Linked DNA regions of Caenorhabditis elegans. The protein of the gene in region 2 purifies or fractionates together with the protein of the main gene of each other region. This does not show direct contact. Each region holds a gene or a part of one and is shown on either strand. Other genes may lie near its edges. The genes, in order: kin-18, msd-3, cyn-1 and cysl-2.

Evidence for each region.
Region 1: the proteins of msd-3 (region 2) and kin-18 fractionate together in Caenorhabditis elegans (co-fractionation; one large-scale study listed by BioGRID). This does not show direct contact.
Region 3: the proteins of msd-3 (region 2) and cyn-1 fractionate together in Caenorhabditis elegans (co-fractionation; one large-scale study listed by BioGRID). This does not show direct contact.
Region 4: the proteins of msd-3 (region 2) and cysl-2 fractionate together in Caenorhabditis elegans (co-fractionation; one large-scale study listed by BioGRID). This does not show direct contact.

The regions. Positions count from the first base shown.
Region 1 is NC_003281.10:6,116,522-6,124,703, reverse strand, and holds kin-18 (Serine/threonine-protein kinase SULU), read right to left. Parts: upstream 6,078-8,182; 5' UTR 5,810-6,077; coding exon 5,672-5,809; intron 5,244-5,671; coding exon 5,070-5,243; intron 4,989-5,069; coding exon 4,793-4,988; intron 4,742-4,792; coding exon 4,589-4,741; intron 4,540-4,588; coding exon 4,132-4,539; intron 4,001-4,131; coding exon 3,881-4,000; intron 3,754-3,880; coding exon 3,017-3,753; intron 2,842-3,016; coding exon 2,641-2,841; intron 2,172-2,640; coding exon 1,932-2,171; intron 1,878-1,931; coding exon 1,539-1,877; intron 1,421-1,538; coding exon 1,178-1,420; 3' UTR 639-1,177; downstream 1-638. UniProt on the Caenorhabditis elegans protein: Acts as a negative regulator of cortical contractions during early embryonic cell division, possibly by regulating rho-1-dependent actomyosin contractility.
Region 2 is NC_003282.8:10,033,471-10,036,796, reverse strand, and holds msd-3 (MSP domain-containing protein), read right to left. Parts: upstream 1,160-3,326; coding exon 830-1,159; downstream 1-829. Other genes in the region: F44D12.10 (C2H2-type domain-containing protein), read left to right, coding at 1-48; F44D12.6 (CDI domain-containing protein), read right to left, coding at 1,993-2,271, 2,322-2,454, 2,835-3,238.
Region 3 is NC_003283.11:14,353,890-14,357,430, forward strand, and holds cyn-1 (Peptidyl-prolyl cis-trans isomerase 1), read left to right. Parts: upstream 1-2,186; 5' UTR 2,187-2,191; coding exon 2,192-2,455; intron 2,456-2,518; coding exon 2,519-2,833; 3' UTR 2,834-2,932; downstream 2,933-3,541. Other genes in the region: vha-13 (V-type proton ATPase catalytic subunit A), read left to right, coding at 1-29; Y49A3A.3 (tRNA:m(4)X modification enzyme TRM13), read left to right, coding at 561-1,053, 1,096-1,346, 1,393-1,821; Y49A3A.4 (ShKT domain-containing protein), read right to left, coding at 3,011-3,324, 3,369-3,466. UniProt on the Caenorhabditis elegans protein: PPIases accelerate the folding of proteins. It catalyzes the cis-trans isomerization of proline imidic peptide bonds in oligopeptides.
Region 4 is NC_003280.10:14,491,884-14,496,379, forward strand, and holds cysl-2 (Bifunctional L-3-cyanoalanine synthase/cysteine synthase), read right to left. Parts: upstream 2,569-4,496; 5' UTR 2,537-2,568; coding exon 1,861-2,536; intron 1,760-1,860; coding exon 1,525-1,759; intron 1,171-1,524; coding exon 1,068-1,170; 3' UTR 991-1,067; downstream 1-990. Other genes in the region: vnut-1 (Major facilitator superfamily (MFS) profile domain-containing protein), read left to right, coding at 1-326, 510-682.

The DNA.
Region 1 (8,182 bases), on a different chromosome or scaffold from region 2:
GTCAACTCAGAATACAAGTTTTTTTGGATTTTTTTTGTTTTTTTTTAAATCTTTTAAATTTTGTTTTGTAGCCTATTCTCTCCGTCTCTACCATTACCTTTATTCTTCATACCTTGATTTGTGTGTTGTAGGAATTATTATATATTCTATTGGTTTATATTTTTCTAAATATTTTATGTTATTCCTCTCAAGTCAACAAAAAAAACAAAGATTACCCACCAATTGCGCCCATTCCCATCAAAAATTTCTACTTTTCTATTATTCAATACAATTTTTATATGAAATCCCTGAAACCCCCCGCTCATTTTTCATCTTGAAACCTTCCCGTTCGAAAGCTATAATTCAATTTTATTTAGTGTTAGAATATTTTTTATAAACTGATAAATTCTCATGTTTTTGTTAATGTCCCTTTCATAAATTCAGTGTGTTACGATTAGGGCCCCTCATAGATGTTTTTTCACCTTCCCTTCATTTTCAACAACTCTTTCATTTCCAATTTATGGAAACCGACCCAAAATTATTATTTTACATAAATCATCTGCAAAAAAACTTAAAATATAAAAATAAGAAATTACAACTTTTCTGCAGAAAAGTTGTAATTTTTTTTTTCTTGTTATTTAAAGTTAATGCATTTTCTAAATAATTAAAGTTTTATAATATATTTATAAGTAAATTAGAAGAGAAGGAGATATATTGGAATATATGATATGATGATGGGGTTCAGATATCAAATAGACTATAAATATTAGAGAAAATAGAGAAAACAACGTTGAGAGCACCGATTAAAGTTTCGTTTCTGAATGAAATTAGGAAGAGAAGGTGAGGAACGAAAAATTGGGTATAGTTGAGAAGTATTGCACGTATTTTCGGGGTTACTGTATCCCGGAGATCGGGATACCGTACCCCATTGGGTTTAGCCGTGGTTTTCATCTATCACAGAAGAATTGGATTTTGGGAGCTAAAAAAGAAGGGAGAAGACATGGAGAAAGTGAGAGAATGAGGGTGGTGCAGAAAAAACATAGAAAAAGACGAACTGGAACCGTAATTAGATGGAAGATATTTGGAAGATACTATCAATTAATTGTCCATACAAGCATACATTTTGTATAAAACGACAAAAAAAGAAAACAATTGGTAGACGACCCGAAGTGTAGTAGAATTAAGAGACAACATCATTCTACATAGCCATCTGAATACTGCTTGAATTCCCAACACCAGGAGCGATCCCACCAGAACTTCTGCTCGTCGAGCCCGTCCGTACGAAATGATTCTCGAGACGATGGCGTTCTTGACTGTGTCGATCACGGATTTGCTCCTTCTTTAGTCGACGCATTTCTCCCATTTGTTCGCGTTCTTCAATAATCTTCTGTTCAAGCATTGCACGTCGTGTGCCAATTCGTTCTTCGAGTGCCGTACGTTCCTGAAAATATAAATTTAGTTGAAGTAGTGGAGCTAGTTCAGTTTTCCAATTTTCTTCAAAACTCAAAAAAAAAAGTTTTCAGCACAAATGTTAGAATGTTGTATACATTTCCGCTCACCTTTTTAATCTGCTCTTCTAATGTGGCTCTCGTCTTCTTCTGATAAGCAATCAATTCTTCCAATTCTTTCTCCAACTTCTCACTAAGAACCCGTTGTTCATCTTCTTGCCACGACTCGAGCTTCACTGTCTTATCCTGAACCATTTTTTTGATTTGACTTTCGTATTGTGAAGCAAGAAGTGCGACTTTTTGCATTTGATCCTGTTTTAGTCGAGACGTGAGCTCTTTTTGTTCATCTTTTGGAACTACTTGCACCATTTGTGTAAGGTAGAGCTTAAATTGGCGAGTCTGAGTCTTCACAACTTGTCGGTATTGTTTTCGAATTTGTGCTTCTTGGATCTGAAAATATTCAGGAATAAACTAAATCAAATCTTCTCCACAATTCAAAAATACCTTTAAATCTCTTGGCTGTTGTCTTGACTGCATCGCATGCTTTTTTCTCAATTCATCCTGTTGCCTCTGTGTGTACTCATTTTGACTTGCCGATTCCGCCTCGTGTTGTGTCTCCAAATGTCGTTTTTTCATCGCGTGAAGCTCGTTGAGATGCTGTATTTCCAAATCGCGCGTCATTTCATGCTGCTTTGACAGTAATCCGTGACGCGTGTCCATTTGGCGTTCTTGCACGTTTACGTCCTGAATATATAAACTGAATAGTAACTGTTGACGATTTTTGGGAAGAAATTCATATTTATCTATATACTTGAAGAAAGGCTCAAGTTTTTTTTAAAGTTATATGAATTTCACAATTTGAAAAAACGATTTTCTGGTCAAGGAGTTAATCGAAAAAATTATAGATTTTTTTCAGGGGAAAATAAAAATGTTAGAATTTTAGATTTTTCCGAATTTTTTAAACATCCAATCGTGTTTATGTTGATAAAAAACTTAACAAAAAACAAAACAATATGTAAACTTCTTTCAAAAAAATATTAAAATGGTCAATTTTTTAAAGATACTTTATGAAAACTCGAAAACCGGGAATTGTTGATTTTCGATTAAAAAAAGGAAAATGTTTCGTTTTTCAATTTTCAAAAAATCGACTTTTCTTGTATTAGTGAAACTTTTAAATTTATTTTCTGGTTAAAATCAAATTCTCCAAACTAACTTCATCATCCAATTGTTCTTCCAATTGATGAAGATTACTGAGTTGTTGCCTGCGATACCTTACAATTTCATCTTCAAGTTCTGCACGAAGCTTCTCGTCAAAATCATTTTCCCGTGCATCTTTCACTCGATTCAGATCGGCTTTCACTTCTTTCATTGCGTTCTCATAAGTACTTCGAGGCATGTTCAGACTTCGTAATCGCTGAAAATTCTTGGTTTAGGACATTTTTTAAAAAATTATTCAAGACTAAATAATAAACTTTGAAAAAAGTGGAGAAGCAGCTGAAAAAGTGACCAGAACTTTCATATTTAAAAATTTATAAAGTCTAAATTTCGTATAATTTCTTTACAGAAATCAAATAAAAGTGAATTCTCACTGTTTTCTGTGCCTCCTTGTTATACTTGTATTCTTTCAATTGTTGCGCTGAATACAGTTTCATCTGCTGCTGATTTTGACTATTTTTCGTCTTTTTCATCTTTTTCTCCCCATCTTCGATATCTTTTTTCCGTTTGTCTAGTTCATTATTCTGTGAACACCTCACTCTCATCTTTTCTTTCGAGTATGTCGTTGTCAATTGTTCGAGTTCTCGATCCATTTTCACACGCAGTTGCTCTCTATCTAATGCACATCGTTCTTCAAATTGTTGGAGCTCTTTGTGATGTGCTTGTCGTAGATGCTTGTACTTGCTCATTTGCTCATACATATTGTTCTCTTTCGTATATTCTTCTTGTTCCTGATTGATTATTCTCTGGGAACGAAGCGTCGCGAATTTGTGATTTTGCAACGTGGCTATTCGTTCCTTGACTGCTCGATGCGGCATATGCAAGTCTTTCACTGGAGCACGTATCGACGTGTCCAAAGGATCATCGTGTGCAGTTTCGAGTATAGAAGATGATTCTGATTTCGATGTTGGTTGTGATGTTGGGATAGGTTCTGAAGGAGACGGTGTTGGATTGACTGCGATCGCCGTAATCGATGCTCCAACTGATCCATGACTCGGCATAGTTCCAACACCAGACGTTGATGTAGAAGAGAGCATTTGCGAAGGAATTGGAGGACGGCGGCGTGCGGAGCTCGTCGTCGAACTACTTCCATTACCGTATCCAGAGGATCCTGAAAATTTTGAAAGATTCTCAATGTTGCGCGATGAATTTCGAGAGAAAAACTAAAATAAATGGAATTTTTGAACTTTGCAGGAAATAATAAAGCCATTCCTAAAACAAAAAAAACAGTACAGTACCATGCACATTATCCATAGCACCCGTCGTATTGGTGGACACTAAAAGACCAGCTCCTCCACTACTCTGCATTGATCGGAAAGAAGTAAGAGAAGCACTTCGAGATGACGCAGAATCTCCTGCTGAAAACGAGAATAGATGGAAAACGAACAACTAAGGGATAGAGTCTGCAAAAAAAAGCTGAGGGTTTAAAGCAATATTATAAAAATTATTCCAAGATATTAATATTTTCACTTTGAATTTTAAAAACTACCTCTTCCAATTGAATTAGCTTCATTTCCATGAAAATCTAAATCATCAGATGCTCCATTTCCTTCACTTCCTTCTTTTCCTTCTGTTTCATCCAAATACATGAGTTTTCTCATCTTTTTGTATTGAAAATTATCCAACTCTAATACCATATTTTTCGTTCTCTGAATGAGTTCCTGAATTGTGTCTGATGGGCGAGACCGTTGAATGAATGGATGTCGAAAGCATTCTTCAGCTGACATTCGCTCTTCTGCTGGTTTTCGAAGACATTTGTCTATAAATTGAACGAATTCCAGCGACCATTCCGGTTGTTCGCTAGTGTCAATTGGAGAAAGAGTTGGAGGATCATTTTGAGCAATATGGTAGAGGGCAGACATTGCATTCATACTGAACAATGGTGGACGACGTTCGGCTATAAATAATAAAATTAATTATCAAGTATAATTTAAAATATTTCTCACCCAGCTCTATACACGTGATACCCAATGACCAAATATCTGCACGATCCGTGTAGTGACCCTCATCCATTGCCAGAATTACCTCTGGGGCCATGAAAAACGGCGTTCCGATGAAAGTTTGAGCCGGATCTACCAGGGATGCGGATCCGAAATCAGCTATAATTATTCAATGAAGTTTTGAAAAACCAAATAAATTAATATAATTACCTAGTTTAACAATAGCATGATCAGATAGCAGAATATTTCCAGCTTTAATATCTCGATGTATTCGCTTCAGAGAGTGAAGATATCGAAGAGCATCCAAAGTTTGAGAGCAAATCGCAGCGATTTCGACTTCTCGCATTCCTTTTCGCAAGACATCCACTATATCGGCTGCAGAGCCAATACAGTACTCCATCACAAGCTGAAATCGAGAATATTAGCTTAAACGTTTTGATATATTTAGCATTATAGAAAAACTATTTTTGTTTTTAAATAATCTCACCCAACATGTAGTGTCCTTAAGAAAACAAGCCTTGTAGTCGACAATATGTGGATGAACAACTGTATTCAGAAAAGACACTTCTTTAAGAATATCATTCCATTTTTCGACAGCCTGTTTTCCACTAAAATTCATCTTTTTAATCGCAACAGTCTGCTCATTTTTTTTGTCATATGCCTGAAAAAAAAAATTTTAATACAATATATTTTATTTCATTTAATGAAAGTTTGAAGCCGCCTGAACCAAAAAATGAGAAAATAATTTCAAATTTATTTTATTCAAAAATAAAGAAAAGAAATAAGTAATCGGAAAATTTTCGATATTCGGTAAAATACGGTACCCGGTCTGTACTGTAATTTCAAATGTTCGTTGCTGTAAAATCTCAATCGATTTTTACAGGGTTTCTAACAATTTAATTTTTAAATTTTTTTCGATTAATATACATTTTTCTATCGAAAATTATGAAGTGTCGATAAAAAATTCAAAACAACAGAATTTTGAAATTACAGAACTTTTTAAAGACGCACACTCAAAAATGGCAAAATTTCGCACCAGTAATTTTTTGAAAATTAACTGAATTTAATTTTTTTAAACAGAAAACTTACAAAATAGACAGCTCCAAAAGATCCATGTCCAATTTCTCTTAAATCTTGATATCTCTGCTCTGGATCCTTATTACTGAACAATGCAGCAATCGATGGATCCTTGATAACACCGGGTTTTTGTAAGACGGCAGGCGCCATCGTAACTCCACCACCTCCTCCGTTCTCCGTATATTCGAGAAGCGCGGCGCCAACGAAAATGAATTTTTGATTATTAATAAATGTGTATTGTTATTAATTTTTGAAATTTTCTGATGTTTTTCTTGTCTTGTTTGATTTTGTTGTTGATGGATGAGTAAAAATCGAGGATGGCGTCGCCGTCGTCGATCGGAGAGAGCACATTAGCCAGAGGATTCCTTGCAGATAATATCGAGAAAATTGTGGATGCAACTGGTTGATGTGAGAAACTCTGAAAATTATGATAATCATGAAAAGGAAGCGAAATGGGGAGTTTAGAATTAAAAAAAGTAAAATAGGAGTAAAATAGGATACAAGTGTTGCCGATTTGAAAAAATAGGAAAGTTAGAAGTAATTTTTTTATATTCATATACGCTGTTAGTAACCGATAAAAGTGTTGTAAATTTTTCGAATTTTTTTAAATTGAAGGCTCATGACTTACTTTTGACATAATCATATTTAAACATAAAATGTCTAACACTTTTACAAAACCAAAAACTCAAAAATCGCGTGACAAAACAGTCAACATTAAAATAGAAAAAATCGCAATATTTTCTGTTCCTGTCTGCATCAGAAAGTTGCCGCCTGTGGCGGAGAGAGGATTATCGGCAACACTTTTCTCCTCTCTTTCACTACTTTTTTTCTATTTATTCCATTATTTATTATGGGAGTAGAACTAGAGAATAAGTAATCTGAAAATTGCAAAAACAATAACACATCGTAGACTGAACTTTTTGTAGAATCATTTTGTAGAGTCCTTTTGCGGATTACTTTATTAGAACTGAAGTTCAGGACTACTACAGTCCGTTCAAGCTAAATATTGTATCAATTACCAATATTTGGATGATCTACTTGAATATTTATAGAATTCAATTGATCTCATGGAAAGTAGGGGAGAAAAGTGTCGTCAAAGAAGGGGAGGACGCGTCTTCAATGCAAACACGAGCAAAAGGGCGCCGAGCCAAGACATTGTGTAGAGAACTAGAGATACACAGAAATAGCAAAGAGACGCAGGCTACGGATGATAAAAAAACATAGTGCAATCCGCACAAAATACCGCCGGCTATCCGCCACTTTATTTGGCGCTTAATTCAAAGAGATTGGAGGATTTTGGGAAAAGAGAATGAAATTGGAAAAGAGCTTATTTTGGATGGATCTCTCAAGCTGATCGGTGAAGTTTTAAACTTATAGTATCTAGTCAATTCATGAGCATGGAATTAAAGTGTTGCTACTAGTTGAATAGTTATGAAGGTATAAACACAAAAGAAACTAAAAACATTTTTTGTGGTATATTTCGCAAAATAGTTTAAAATTAAAAAGAAAGAGAAAATGATTCACAAATATTAGCCCTGTCTTCATTTAGCAATATTGCTAGCAATCCTTCTGAAGTGTTTAATGAATTTTCAAAAAAATCATAACAAGTTTTCCCTAAAAGAGAAAAGGTGACGCAGGGTGAATGATATCAGCACGGAAATATTTATTTGTTGACTTCTAAAACCTTCCAAAACGAGAACTTTATCACCATCTATGATTCATTTGTTTGCACTAAAAACCTGGTCCAAGTATTTTTTGATAGGAATTTAAGCGCTATGAAATTTGATAAAACTTGGAAAAAATTCCAGCGTTGTTGAATTTGATTATCAATTTAAGATGGCATTGTTCTCCAACTTCCATTCAACTTATTGCCTCAATAAAACAATAAAATGAAGAATTTGTTGAGATGATAAGAAACTTAAAGTTTCAGACGAAGAAAGACCAGAAAAGTTATCGATTTACGGTTGATTTTTTCTTTATATTTTTAATTTCAACTGATTGCACCGTCATGGCCAGAAACTCCTCTCTTATCAGACCGCCCGGGGCATCTAGCTGCCATTTTGAAACAAACTCTTTTAAGATGGAAGGGACAAAGGAAAAAGGAACAGTTAAACTAAAAAACACCTGTTTTGGTGGAATAAAGTTAGAAAAATGTTGCGCAGAGAACTGAAAACGCCAGTTGACATAAATGGTAGCTAATGTTTAGCTAGTTTTGTTTAAATAACTCAAGAAATGCAGAAGTAAAGGAAAAATAAGGAAAATAATTGTATTGAAATGATAGTGTTGGAGGGATCGAACGGAAAAAGCCGTAGAAACGGCGAGACATTATGCCGAAACAAGAGAAGCCAGAGAAGTGCCGTCAAATTAGGTGTCTTGTGTGCAAACACTAACACGGCAAATTGCAGAATTTTCGTGATTAGGAAAAATTCCTCAAAATTTGCTGAAACTAGTGATATTTCCTTTATTTCTGAGTTTTTATTTGATTTCGAGGCTAAAACAATTTTATTATGTTTATTAGCCAAC
Region 2 (3,326 bases):
CAAAAGAAACAATTCTCTGTCCATTCGATCGCCAAATTTCACAGTTGAAATATCATGGAGTTCAAGGATTGCCAAAGAATTTCGCTCTAATGAATATGTAGAATACTGAATAAATTTCTTTGGTTACAAATGAACTCTAATAAAATATGTTTGAAAGTGTTTATTACGTCTAATAGATAATATTGTAATAAAGCTCAAGTTTGTGTGCCTCTACCGGACGAGCTCTATGTTTTGCAGGAAGCTATCGTTTTCTTCCACCGACTCCTAAGACAGTATTTCCTAATGTGGCTTTCACCTGAATATTGAGTTTTATGTCTGTGTGTAGAAATGGTTATCGCATCTGTGATTATTCCCGTCAAACTACTCATATTCAGAAATTTATGAATTACGGGCAATTAAATTGCTCAGAAATTCAGAATTCAGAATTGAGAAGAAATGTACAGACAGCATTTCACCAATGCCACCGTCTAAATTAAATTATTAATTTAATAACTTTTCCAAGTTAGCTACGGGCACCAATCCGAATGTGATTAAAAGGCGAACGGGTGAACGTAGTTGCAGCGGAGATCTTAGAATTATGATCTAGTGAACTTCCACAACTACAGTCGATTCGACACTTTCTCTGCCAATTTCCTGGTTAAAATATTTAGTGGGCACTTTCTCAGCCACAATTATGATAAATTCTTTGATTTCTTATTGAAACTAAGCAGTTCTAGTAAGAAACAAATGTGAAATAATAAAAACCAAAAACTTCAATTCAAATATTTCATTCAAAACATTCAAATCTCTTTTTTCCAAAATGTCTCATCATACTCGTCGATTTAAACGTCTAAGCCGTTGCCGACATTGGAATTGTAATGGTTCCAGCTGGAGTGATGGCAGCAAACGCAGCTTGGGCATCAGTTGCATCAGCCGGAGCAGCGGCAAAGTGAACAACAAGCTTGTCTTCTTTTGGTGCTCCAGCAGTACGAGTGATTGTGATGTCCTTTGAACCAGATGGATCAACGAATCCAAAGACCGGAGTGATGCGGTATTCGTTGTTGTTTGAAGACTTGATCTTGAAGATCATCTTCTCAGCTCCAGCATTGACAAGTTTGTGGGTAGAAGCACCTCCAGCAGCTGGAACAGTGCACGCTGGTGGATCGGCCGTCAGAGACATCTTTTTGAAACTTTATGTTAAAGTTGTATAAACTGAATAGCAGTCGTTATCAAGATGAACCAGTGACCTTTCGTGAACTTTTGATTTTAAATATTTTTGTAAATTTAAAAAGGTTTGTTAATATCAACTGTCTGCTCCCTTTTGAAAATATAGTTTTTTAAAAGTTATTTACGCTCTCGAGAAGACGTGGAAGAGGTTAAGGAAAAAATAAAAATATAGAAAAAAAAATATTTTTGTAAATTTAAAAAGGTTTTTTTCCGATGTATATAAGGATTTAAAATAAATAAGTCATTAAATATATTTTCTATAACATGAAAAATTCACCGCTAACTGGCGTCAACTAACAATGACGTGTTCAGTTGGAATGTCACTTTTAAAGGTTCGGAATTACTTGAGTTGTTGACTAATAGACACTAAAGGAGTTACTTTGAGATACGCGATTTTTTTTGTCAAGAAAGGAGTACCCGGTTGCAGCGGATATTCGAAAAATACAATGAACACTTTTTCACGGGAAGACATTTCATAAAAAAATTTCCAGTCTCCAAAAGAAGCAGCCGTAGCGGTAAAGAAGGAAACAGCTGCCACGAAAAAAGCTGAAAAAGCCATAATTGAAGAGCTCTCCGCAGCTGGTGCAAGTCGATTTTAAATGAGAAACTTCAAAAATGTGCGGCGGTTACTGATGGGAAGAACGTTTCATTGGTTGTGTGAATCAATTTTTTGTTATTTTGTTGATTTTTCCCCTTTCTTCACTTTGTTGTTATTGTTGAATTATTGTTGAATTGAATTGAAAAAAAACAATTTAAACAAAATCCCATTATTCAAGATTATCACAATCAAACAGAAAACACCGACTTTCCAGATTCTGTATTCGAAGGTGCATTTGCAGTTGCCATTCCAGCTGTCTTTGGAGTAGTTCGTCCCGATTTTGCACCACCGCCGCCGCTCTTCATGGTCTCCTCCTGAGTTGGCTCCAATTTCCGTTCTTTTGCTGATTTTTTGGATGATTTTTGAGTAGGCATCATTGGACCAGGAGTCCGTTGTTTGCTGCGACGAGGTGTTTCTTGCGGTTTTCGGTCGGGCTTCTTGTCGGACAACGGCATTTCAGAGTTCACCTGGAAGATTTTCAAGATTTTTTCACATATGAATAATAATTGATTCAAACCTTCGATCTTTCCTGGTCTTCTTTACTATTTTGGCTATCGATCGTGTCACAACCTCCATCATCTTTCGATCGGCATGCATCATTGCTTCGGATAATAAAGGCCAAACCAGTCTCTCGCCAATGAACATGGGCGCTGAAATTGAGAATTGCAATTGTAGGTAGATAGGCAGGCACGCATGCCGAGCTCGAATGGTTATCTTAGGCAATTTCTAGGCAATTATTGACAGTATCTTAAACATCTCTCAATACAAAACTAGGGTGAAATCAGAAGGCTTCTGAAAAAAGTGCTGCCTTCCAGGAAAGTTACGCTTTGTAGGCACTAAGCAGGCAGACACTTCTTTCGAGAGGATTATCCGGGAAGTAGCAGGTGGTCGAGGGCAGGTAGCGGGAAATCAGAAAAGAATGTAGGCATGTAGGCAGGCATGTAGGCATGAAGATATATCAGCTTAGGCGTAGGCATTGGCTAAGGCTTAGGCATCTTCGCGTTGAAATCTGTAATTGTGATAAACTAACTCTTTCCATTTTTCGTTTCTCTTATCCAACACGGGAACTCTCAACTCCTTCCTGTACCGTTGTTTCGGATGTTGTGGCAATTGCGCAACCATCTTCTTCATCTCTTCCTTCGTGGTCCCATTCGTTATTCTCCGTGTTTGGATTTCCCACTTTGGGAAGTATTGATTGGTTTTATGACGGAGCGCAGCTTCTTTTGCCGCATTCTCATCATTACATCCACCAGGAAGTGTTGGTGTTAGAAGACGAACATTTGCAAGTGGATCCTCTTGAAGTTCAACTGTTTGGATATCTTGAGTTTTATCGTAGTTTGGCTCAGACACAGGTTGCTGTTGTTGGTCTTCGTTCGATGGTTTCGAGTTTTGTCTGCGCACTTTTCCGCCACAAATTGTCATTAAAATGCTAATCTGAAATGTTAAGTTTAGTTATAATTTTACAGACTTTCTGAAATTATAACGGATTCTTTACACATTCAATTTTCGATGTGCGCATGAT
Region 3 (3,541 bases), on a different chromosome or scaffold from region 2:
CTAACGCTTTCAGAAACCTCGAGGATTAAATTAATGTTTTTAGAAATTTTAAAATTGATTCTCTTGTTTGTTTCTGTTTTCGCCTCCCCGCTAGATTCTGTTCAGTTTTGCTGAGCGTGTACTTTTTAGTTAAAAGTATATGTTTTTCCTTGATCCCCTCACCCAATTCGCCTCCTTTCTCTACTTTTATCCTCTTTAAAGTGTTTGATTGATTTGACATTCCAAATTTCAGATATTTATTGCACCTTTTTTCTCTTTTGTAGATTTCTAAACTTCAAAAAATTCCAACCACACACAATGTATCTGGTCGCCTTACAACTCCCGTTTTAAACAACAATTTCACTTATATTAATCAATATTTTTGGTATTCTTCTTGTTGAATAGACTACTTTACTTGTGCCCTTCCATTTCTTTTTTTGCGACAACCAACCCGTATAGTCTTACGAACCACGTTTTACTGTGTTGTGATATGTATAATACTTTTGAGACACACCAATTCAACTATAGCAATAAACTTTAGGAAAATCACAAATATCTCGCACGCAGGTCTCGTTTTCAAAATGGAATTGGATTCGGTGAAGCAGCAACAACAGCAGAACGCTTGCTGTGAATATATTCTACCAATTAAGAAGCGACGGTGTAAGATGCTGGTGAAAAAGGGAAATCGGTTCTGTGGAGAGCATTCAATTCACGATCAGAATAACACTGATCGTATGGTTTGCCCGAATGATGGAAAACATACGATTCTGAAGGCAGATCTAGAGATTCATCTGACAAGGTGTAATTCTAGAATCAGAGATGCAGAATATATCAAAATTGATGCAAATTCTATTCGTGGCGAGACCAAACGCACCGATAAAATTGATCGAAGAGCCACTGAAGATGAGATTTGTACCACTGTGCACAAGATCTGGAAGTGCTATGAGACGGATGTAATGGATCGTTTGATTGTTGAGCAACAAAGAAATGAGCTCGTCGAGCAAAATATCGCACAAAATTCAGATCTGAACAACACGAAAAAGAAGCAATTATACCAGATTTCGTCTATTTTAGGTTTTATAAAATGCATTTCCATTTTAATAATTTTCTTTTCAGGTCACATCGAATCCACAGGGCTACTTCCAACTTGCTCCAAATCTTGCATGTTCGAGCTCGGAGCTGGAAAAGGTCAACTAGCTTATTGGATCTCCAAAGCAGCGCCAAATGGAAATTATATTCTCATGGATCGCTCTGGATCACGAAATAAATTTGATACTGCTGCATTTCGAGAGAATCCGAATTTATCAATGAAACGCTTCCGATGCTCAATTGAACATATGGACTTGAGCAAGATTGATGAGCTGAAGGTGAGTTTTACAGTTTTTATCCAAAAAAATCTTTATCTTTTTTTAGAACTCTGAAAAGATTTTGGCAATCTGTAAACATTTTTGTGGAAGCGCGACAGACGCTGGAATTCGATCGTTGATGAATAGTGGTCTACAATTCAACGCTGCACTTCTGATCCCTTGTTGCCATCACAAATCGCGATTCGCAGAATATGGAGGACATGATTTTTTGGAGAAATGGGAAATGAATGATGAAGCTTCGTTTGCTGCACTTCGATATATTGCATCGTTTGCAACAAATGGAGCAGTTGATACAGAAGCAACTGAAGGATGGAAGTCAATTCATCCGCCATTAGAGCTTGGACGAAGAGCGAAAGCCATCCTTGAAATCGGACGAGCAATTTGGCTGGAAAGTGTTGGATTCAAGACGAGAGTTGTAGAATACGTGCCGCCAGAAGTATCACCGGAAAATTTATTGATTTTAGCTTTGAAATAAGATCACGCATTTAATAAAATGATTTGTAATATTTTTTAATAAATAGATCGAAACAAATTGAACATTTAATCAAATAAATATACAAAATTTTATTAATTTCGAACAAAAATTAGAATCTATGCGATACCTACACATTCTAAACCACGCGCCTTTAAATAGTACGGTGGGATATTTGACAAAAATTGTTATTATTTGAATTACCTCGCAAATCTCTTGGCGTTTTTCGCGTGCACGAGAAACGCGCAAGCAAAGAATTTGATTGCGCTTTGTCAGATTAGTATTTATTTTATTTTCTTTTTCACTTTAAATTCAATCCTATGGCTTTGTTCTGCACGTTTTTGAATTAGTTTTGTTTCTTTTTTCAGGTAAAATGAAATTTCTACTCCGTGCCTCCTCACTTGCCGGTCAATCACTTCGATTCGCCTCTCAAAGACCGAAGGTGTTTTTCGACGTGAGTATTGGAGAAGAACCAGCAGGACGTGTCACCATGGAGTTGTTCAACGATGTTGTCCCAAAAACAGCAGAGAATTTCCGCGCATTGTGCACCGGTGAGAAGGGCGTCGGAGAGCAAGGAGTTGCACTTCACTTCAAGGGATCAAAATTCCACAGAATCATTCCAGAGTTCATGATTCAGGTAATTTTTAGTTTCGAACTATGAGTTTTAACTATTTTTCATTAACATTATTCAATTCTTCAGGGAGGAGATTTCACTCGCCACAACGGAACTGGTGGTGAATCAATCTACGGAAATAAATTCAAGGACGAGAATTTCGATCTTAAGCACACCGGACCAGGATGCCTTTCAATGGCCAACGCTGGACCAAACACCAACGGATCTCAGTTTTTCATTTGCACAGTCGACACTCCATGGCTTGATGGAGGTCACGTCGTTTTCGGACAAGTCACCGACGGCATGTCTGTTGTGAAGAAGATCGAAAAGATGGGATCCCGATCCGGAGCCCCAGCCAAGACTGTCACAATCGCCGATTGCGGAGAGTTGAAGAGCGAGTAACTTCATTGTTTTTTTTGTTTCAAAAATATTTTTCATTAGCGTTAGCAAATTGTTATTATTTTTTAATTAATTGTTTTTAATTAGTAAAGTTTTAGTTTTTTTTCGAAAAATAACTGGAAAAAATTAAGTCTTACAGATTTATTTTCTACCAGAAAAGTGAAAAGCAAAAGCAATGGTCTATAAAAATTCACCAGAAGACTCAATATCATCTGCCGATGTACAATATTCACACGTCTTCGCACAAATTTTACGAAAAAGTGGAGAATAGGCTCTATGTGTGCACAACTTCTGATTCCTCTCACAATCTGATGCTCGATCCACGCATTCTGCAGTATCAGTCATTTCCGATGAGATATTTTCAATTCTTTTCGAGAACCTTCGCGGTTTCTTTTCCATGAACGTCGTGGGAGTTGTTGCATTTCTCAGAAGATCAATCACATTGTCAACTATTTTCAACTCTTCCAATTTTTGAACAGTTTTTTCACCCATTTCTAAATATTTCAGAATATGTTTAAACAGGTCGGAAGAAGCTTACTGGATTTCAAATGCGAAATATGAATTTCCCGGCTATCCTCTGTTTCCTCTTCTTCGTACTCGTCATCGTCAACACAAAATTTGCAGGTTTTTGCACATCTGAAATTGCATTTAAAAAGTTAATAATACACTAATTGGCCTCGACGCGACAAATTTTTGTTAATTTTAATGGTG
Region 4 (4,496 bases), on a different chromosome or scaffold from region 2:
GTATTTCCACGAGACATTCCCGACTGCGAAGGGTTTTGTATACAATGTGGTACCATCGTTGGCGATCGTTGTCACCTCATTGGTGGCCCCAGTGATGGCGTCTCGTGCGCTGTCCGAGGGAAAAACTGTGACCTATACGAGAAAATTGATGGAAGGAGCCAGTCTACTGGGAATCGCATTCTGTTTGATGCTAGTACCAATGACATCATCGTTCTGGATATCATTGATCATATTCACTATGGCAATGGCTGCCAGAGGGCTACACCACGGTGGTGTTTCCGTAAATCCACACGATTTTGCACCAAATCATGCGGGATCTGTTTTTGGTAAGGGTAGACTTCTTCTGAACATGAGCACGAAAGTTTTTTCTGATTGCCAAAAATATCAAACTTTGCATTTCTAGCAAATTGCTGATTTGGCGAAAAAATATTTTTTTAGATCCGGAATCCCACCAGATTGATGCCTGAAAAAAACAAAAAAGAAGTTATATTAAAATAACCATTTTTCAGGAGTTTTCAATGCCTGCGGCGCCATCACCGGATTCGTCGGTGTCTACATTGCTGGTCACATCCTGGAAGCCACGAATAACAACTGGTCGTACGTGTTCGTTGTGACGGCGGCTCAGTGTGTTGTTGGAGCTATGGTTTATACACTTCTGGGCACTGGACAGAAGATTATTTAATTATTTGTTTCATGTGCATTAACTTTTTTTTCAAAAATTCTTGAAGTGAATCCGAAGATTTACTTTTGAAAAATAGTTTTCTTCTTCTTCTTTATTCTTGTTTCATAATTTTTGTTATCGGTCTTTTCTTCTTCTTCTCATTTCCCCTCTGAACTATAAACTTGCCTCTTCTCATTTTTCTTCCCCCACCCCTCTTCGAATTGTCTGTGTTCACCCTTCCCCACACCCACTCAATTTTCAGTGATTCATAGTTTATCCGGGTTTTTGAAGTCTTTTCATTGTACGAAATGTGTAATATTCATGTCTTTTTTAAATAAATTTATTTATTTTCCAAAACAACATTTTTTGGAATGAAACATTTTCACACAATATGAAATTCGAAAGTTTAAATTCCTAGGTATTCTTTGGCAATCTTGATGGAATCGTCGAGGTTCAACTGTTTCATGTTGGCGGCGTTATCACGGAGCTCGGCGTAGAGGGCGGTTGAACTGAAATAGCCAAGTATTGGGCGGGGCTTATTTTGAAATATTTAATATCTGAGACAAAGATTCCCGAGAAAGTTTTATATTTTCAAATTATAGAAACAACATTTACCCAATGTGACCAAAATTGAGCCCCGCCCAATTCTTGGCTTTCGAATTTTCTTGAACTTTTTCAATTTTTCGGGTTTTTACAGTTTTTGGGAAGGTCTATTTGGAGTTTAATTTCATTGTTAAATTATTACTTTCGAGGTTGGAGGCAGGCGTCAGGTCCTGAAACCGCGCCTACCGCCCATGAAAGCCCTACATTTTTTTCATGGAAAAAACTGAAAATTCTGCAATAATATTGAATATAAAACTTACAGATAGCGTTCTCCAAAACTGTTAACTGTGGTGACAATTAGTTTCCCCTTATTCTCCGGTCGCTTGGCCAACTGAACTGCAGCGCACACGTTGGCTCCAGACGAGATTCCACCCAAAATCGACTCCTCGTCGGCAAGCTTCTTGGCCATTGCAATAGCATCATCGGAATGAACTCGCAGAGCCTCGGAGAAAAGGGTCAAGTCGAGGATGTCAGGAATCATTCCGGTTCCCATGCCTGGAAATAGAAAATATAACCGTTTTTGACATGGTGCATCGACTTTTTTTTGTTTGATTTACAATTCCCCAGCCCCGAAAATTTGGAAAAAAAATGCTCACCTTGAATTTTGTGTGGGCTATGTGGAAGTCCATTGATCACAGAACTCTCAAATGGCTCAACTGGGAACACTTGAACACTTGGGTTCTTCTCCTTCAAGAATCGTCCGACTCCAGTGCAAGTTCCACCTGATCCAACTCCGAAGCATACGATATCAACCTTGCCCTGTGTCTGCCTCCAAATTTCTGGTCCTGTAGTCTTATAATGGGCTTCTGGATTTGCTGGATTTCCGAATTGGTTCAAGATATACGCATTTGGAATCACATCGCGAAGCTCTTCGGCTCTTTGGACAGCTCCTTTGACCGCGGTCGCTGGATCGGTAAGAATCACCTCAGCACCGTAGGCCTTTAACAGACACCTTCTCTCAATACTCATCGACGCTGGCATCGTAAGAATAACTTTGTACCCACGAAGTTTTCCGCAGTAGGCCAACGCAATTCCCATGTTTCCACTGGTTGGCTCAATGAGCACAGTTTTGCCGGGGGTGATGAGCCCGGCCTTCTCAGCTGTGTCGATCATGTTGAACGCGATACGATCCTTGACCGAGCAGGCAGGGTTCATGTACTCTACCTTGACGGCAATCGATGCACCGAGATCCTTTCCGATCTTGTTGAGCTTCAGGAGTGGGGTGTTTCCGATGAGCTCACCACCGGTTTCGACCATAAGTTCGCGGGACATGATGAGTTGATTGGCAGAGGATAACTAATACTCTGAAAAAAAAAATGGAATAAGAGTTTTAAAAAGATTTTTCGCAGGAATTCAAATAAAGGGAGTAATTAAATCCACTACACTATAATGTTGCAAAAAGACGAACTTTTCAACAAAAAGCGTAATAAAAAAGAATAAGAACAAAATTAACGAAAAGATATAACGATAGTGATAAGAAATGAAGACCAATCAGGTAGAAAACAATAATACGTGCGAGATGAGTAAACGATAAGGGCGGGCGGCAGTTATTGTCATCATTTTTCTTGGTATCAAAGTAATTTGATCTATTGGTAGACGCGGAAGATCAAATTGATATTACGGGAACACAAAATTCTGAAAATGCGTTTTGCACACCATATTTGACGCACAAAATATCACGTAGCGAAAACTATTCTTTCAGTGATTACTGTAGTGATGGTGTCGATTTACGGGCACGATTTTCGGAATGAGTTAAAATAATTTATTTATGAACAGAATTTCAAAAATCGAGCCCGTAAATGCGCATTCTCAGAACTGTGTTCCCGTAATACAAACCTTTGAAAATTAGTTATACATATTATTTTATTTCGATTTACGATTGAGTAGGGCATCCATGGTAAGCAGGCTCGGTTTCAGGGCTTGACGCCTGCCTTTTTAAAGCCTAAATGGAATCCCTATCTTTAATAAAGCTGATAAAAATAGTGTGCGCCTTTACTAATAGAAGTCTAATTGTAAGATGATCGAATTTAACAATTAAAATATCCGAGATTTTTGAAATTTTCAAAAAAATTATTTAGTTTCTTTTACTGTAAATACCCTAAAATTTATCTGAAACTTGTGAACTTTCACTACTGGAATTCTGGATGGTTTCTATGAAAAAAAGACGGTCCAATTAAAATCATTTTTCGCCGGGAACACATTAGTAAAGTACTTTCACACTTGAGGTAACAATTTCTACAAAAAAGTGCAAAACCAGAAGACATGTTTCATCAGATTCCAAACTTCACCTTTTATACTTCCATCCGCTGTGAAATGAACGTGTGTTTTTGGACTATAAGCACCGCCCATATTTGCTCCATATGATGAGAACTAGGAAATCATCACTTGAAAACATTTGATTGGGTGTCTGTGTCTCAAATAGTCTGTTCTATGATCTGAACTGCTAATCGAGAGGATGATAAGATCAAAGTGAGTACGTGACATATTGAAGATTGTTTTATGGAATTTTATTATTTCTGAAAGGGGGAACACCAGAAGACATGTGCATCTGGAAACATGTGCACCTATTCTGAAATATTTTAGGTGAATATATTTTCAAGAACCCAACTGAAGGCCGATAGAATAGCTCCAGAAGCGGATTCTTGCAATTTTTCTTTTCAGAGCTCTTTAGAGGTAGGAATCAGAGGTGGGCGGCCATTGCCGTTTGGCAAGCTTTTCTCCGCAAATTTGGCAAGTCAACAAAATGCCGGTTTCCCAATTTGCCGGAATTTCTCAATTCCCGCAAATTGCCGGATGTCAATTTGCCGGAAGTGTGTTTTTTAAGACGGAAATACTTAAAACTGAGCCATTTTGAAAATTAATATTATTTTCATAGAATTTGCTTACTTTTCAGAATAGATGTAGGAGCATTCATGATAAGTACAATTTTGCCGATTAAAAGAGAAATTCTGAAATTTCCCGAAAAAGTGTGCTAAACCACAATTTGCCGAAAATTTCTGCAATTGCCGTTTTTCGGCAAATAGATCCGGTTTGCCGATTTGCCGGAAATTGTCATTTTCTGCAAATTACCTATTTGTCGTTTGTCGGAAAAAAACGGTTTCCGCCCACCCCTGGTAAAAAATACAATCTGAAAGTTAAAAAAAAAACATCTTAAAATTCTTACAGCCAACCCAATCGTAAAAATTCAGATAAAAAACATTTAACAATCTTTCATAATACTCCCATACTTGCA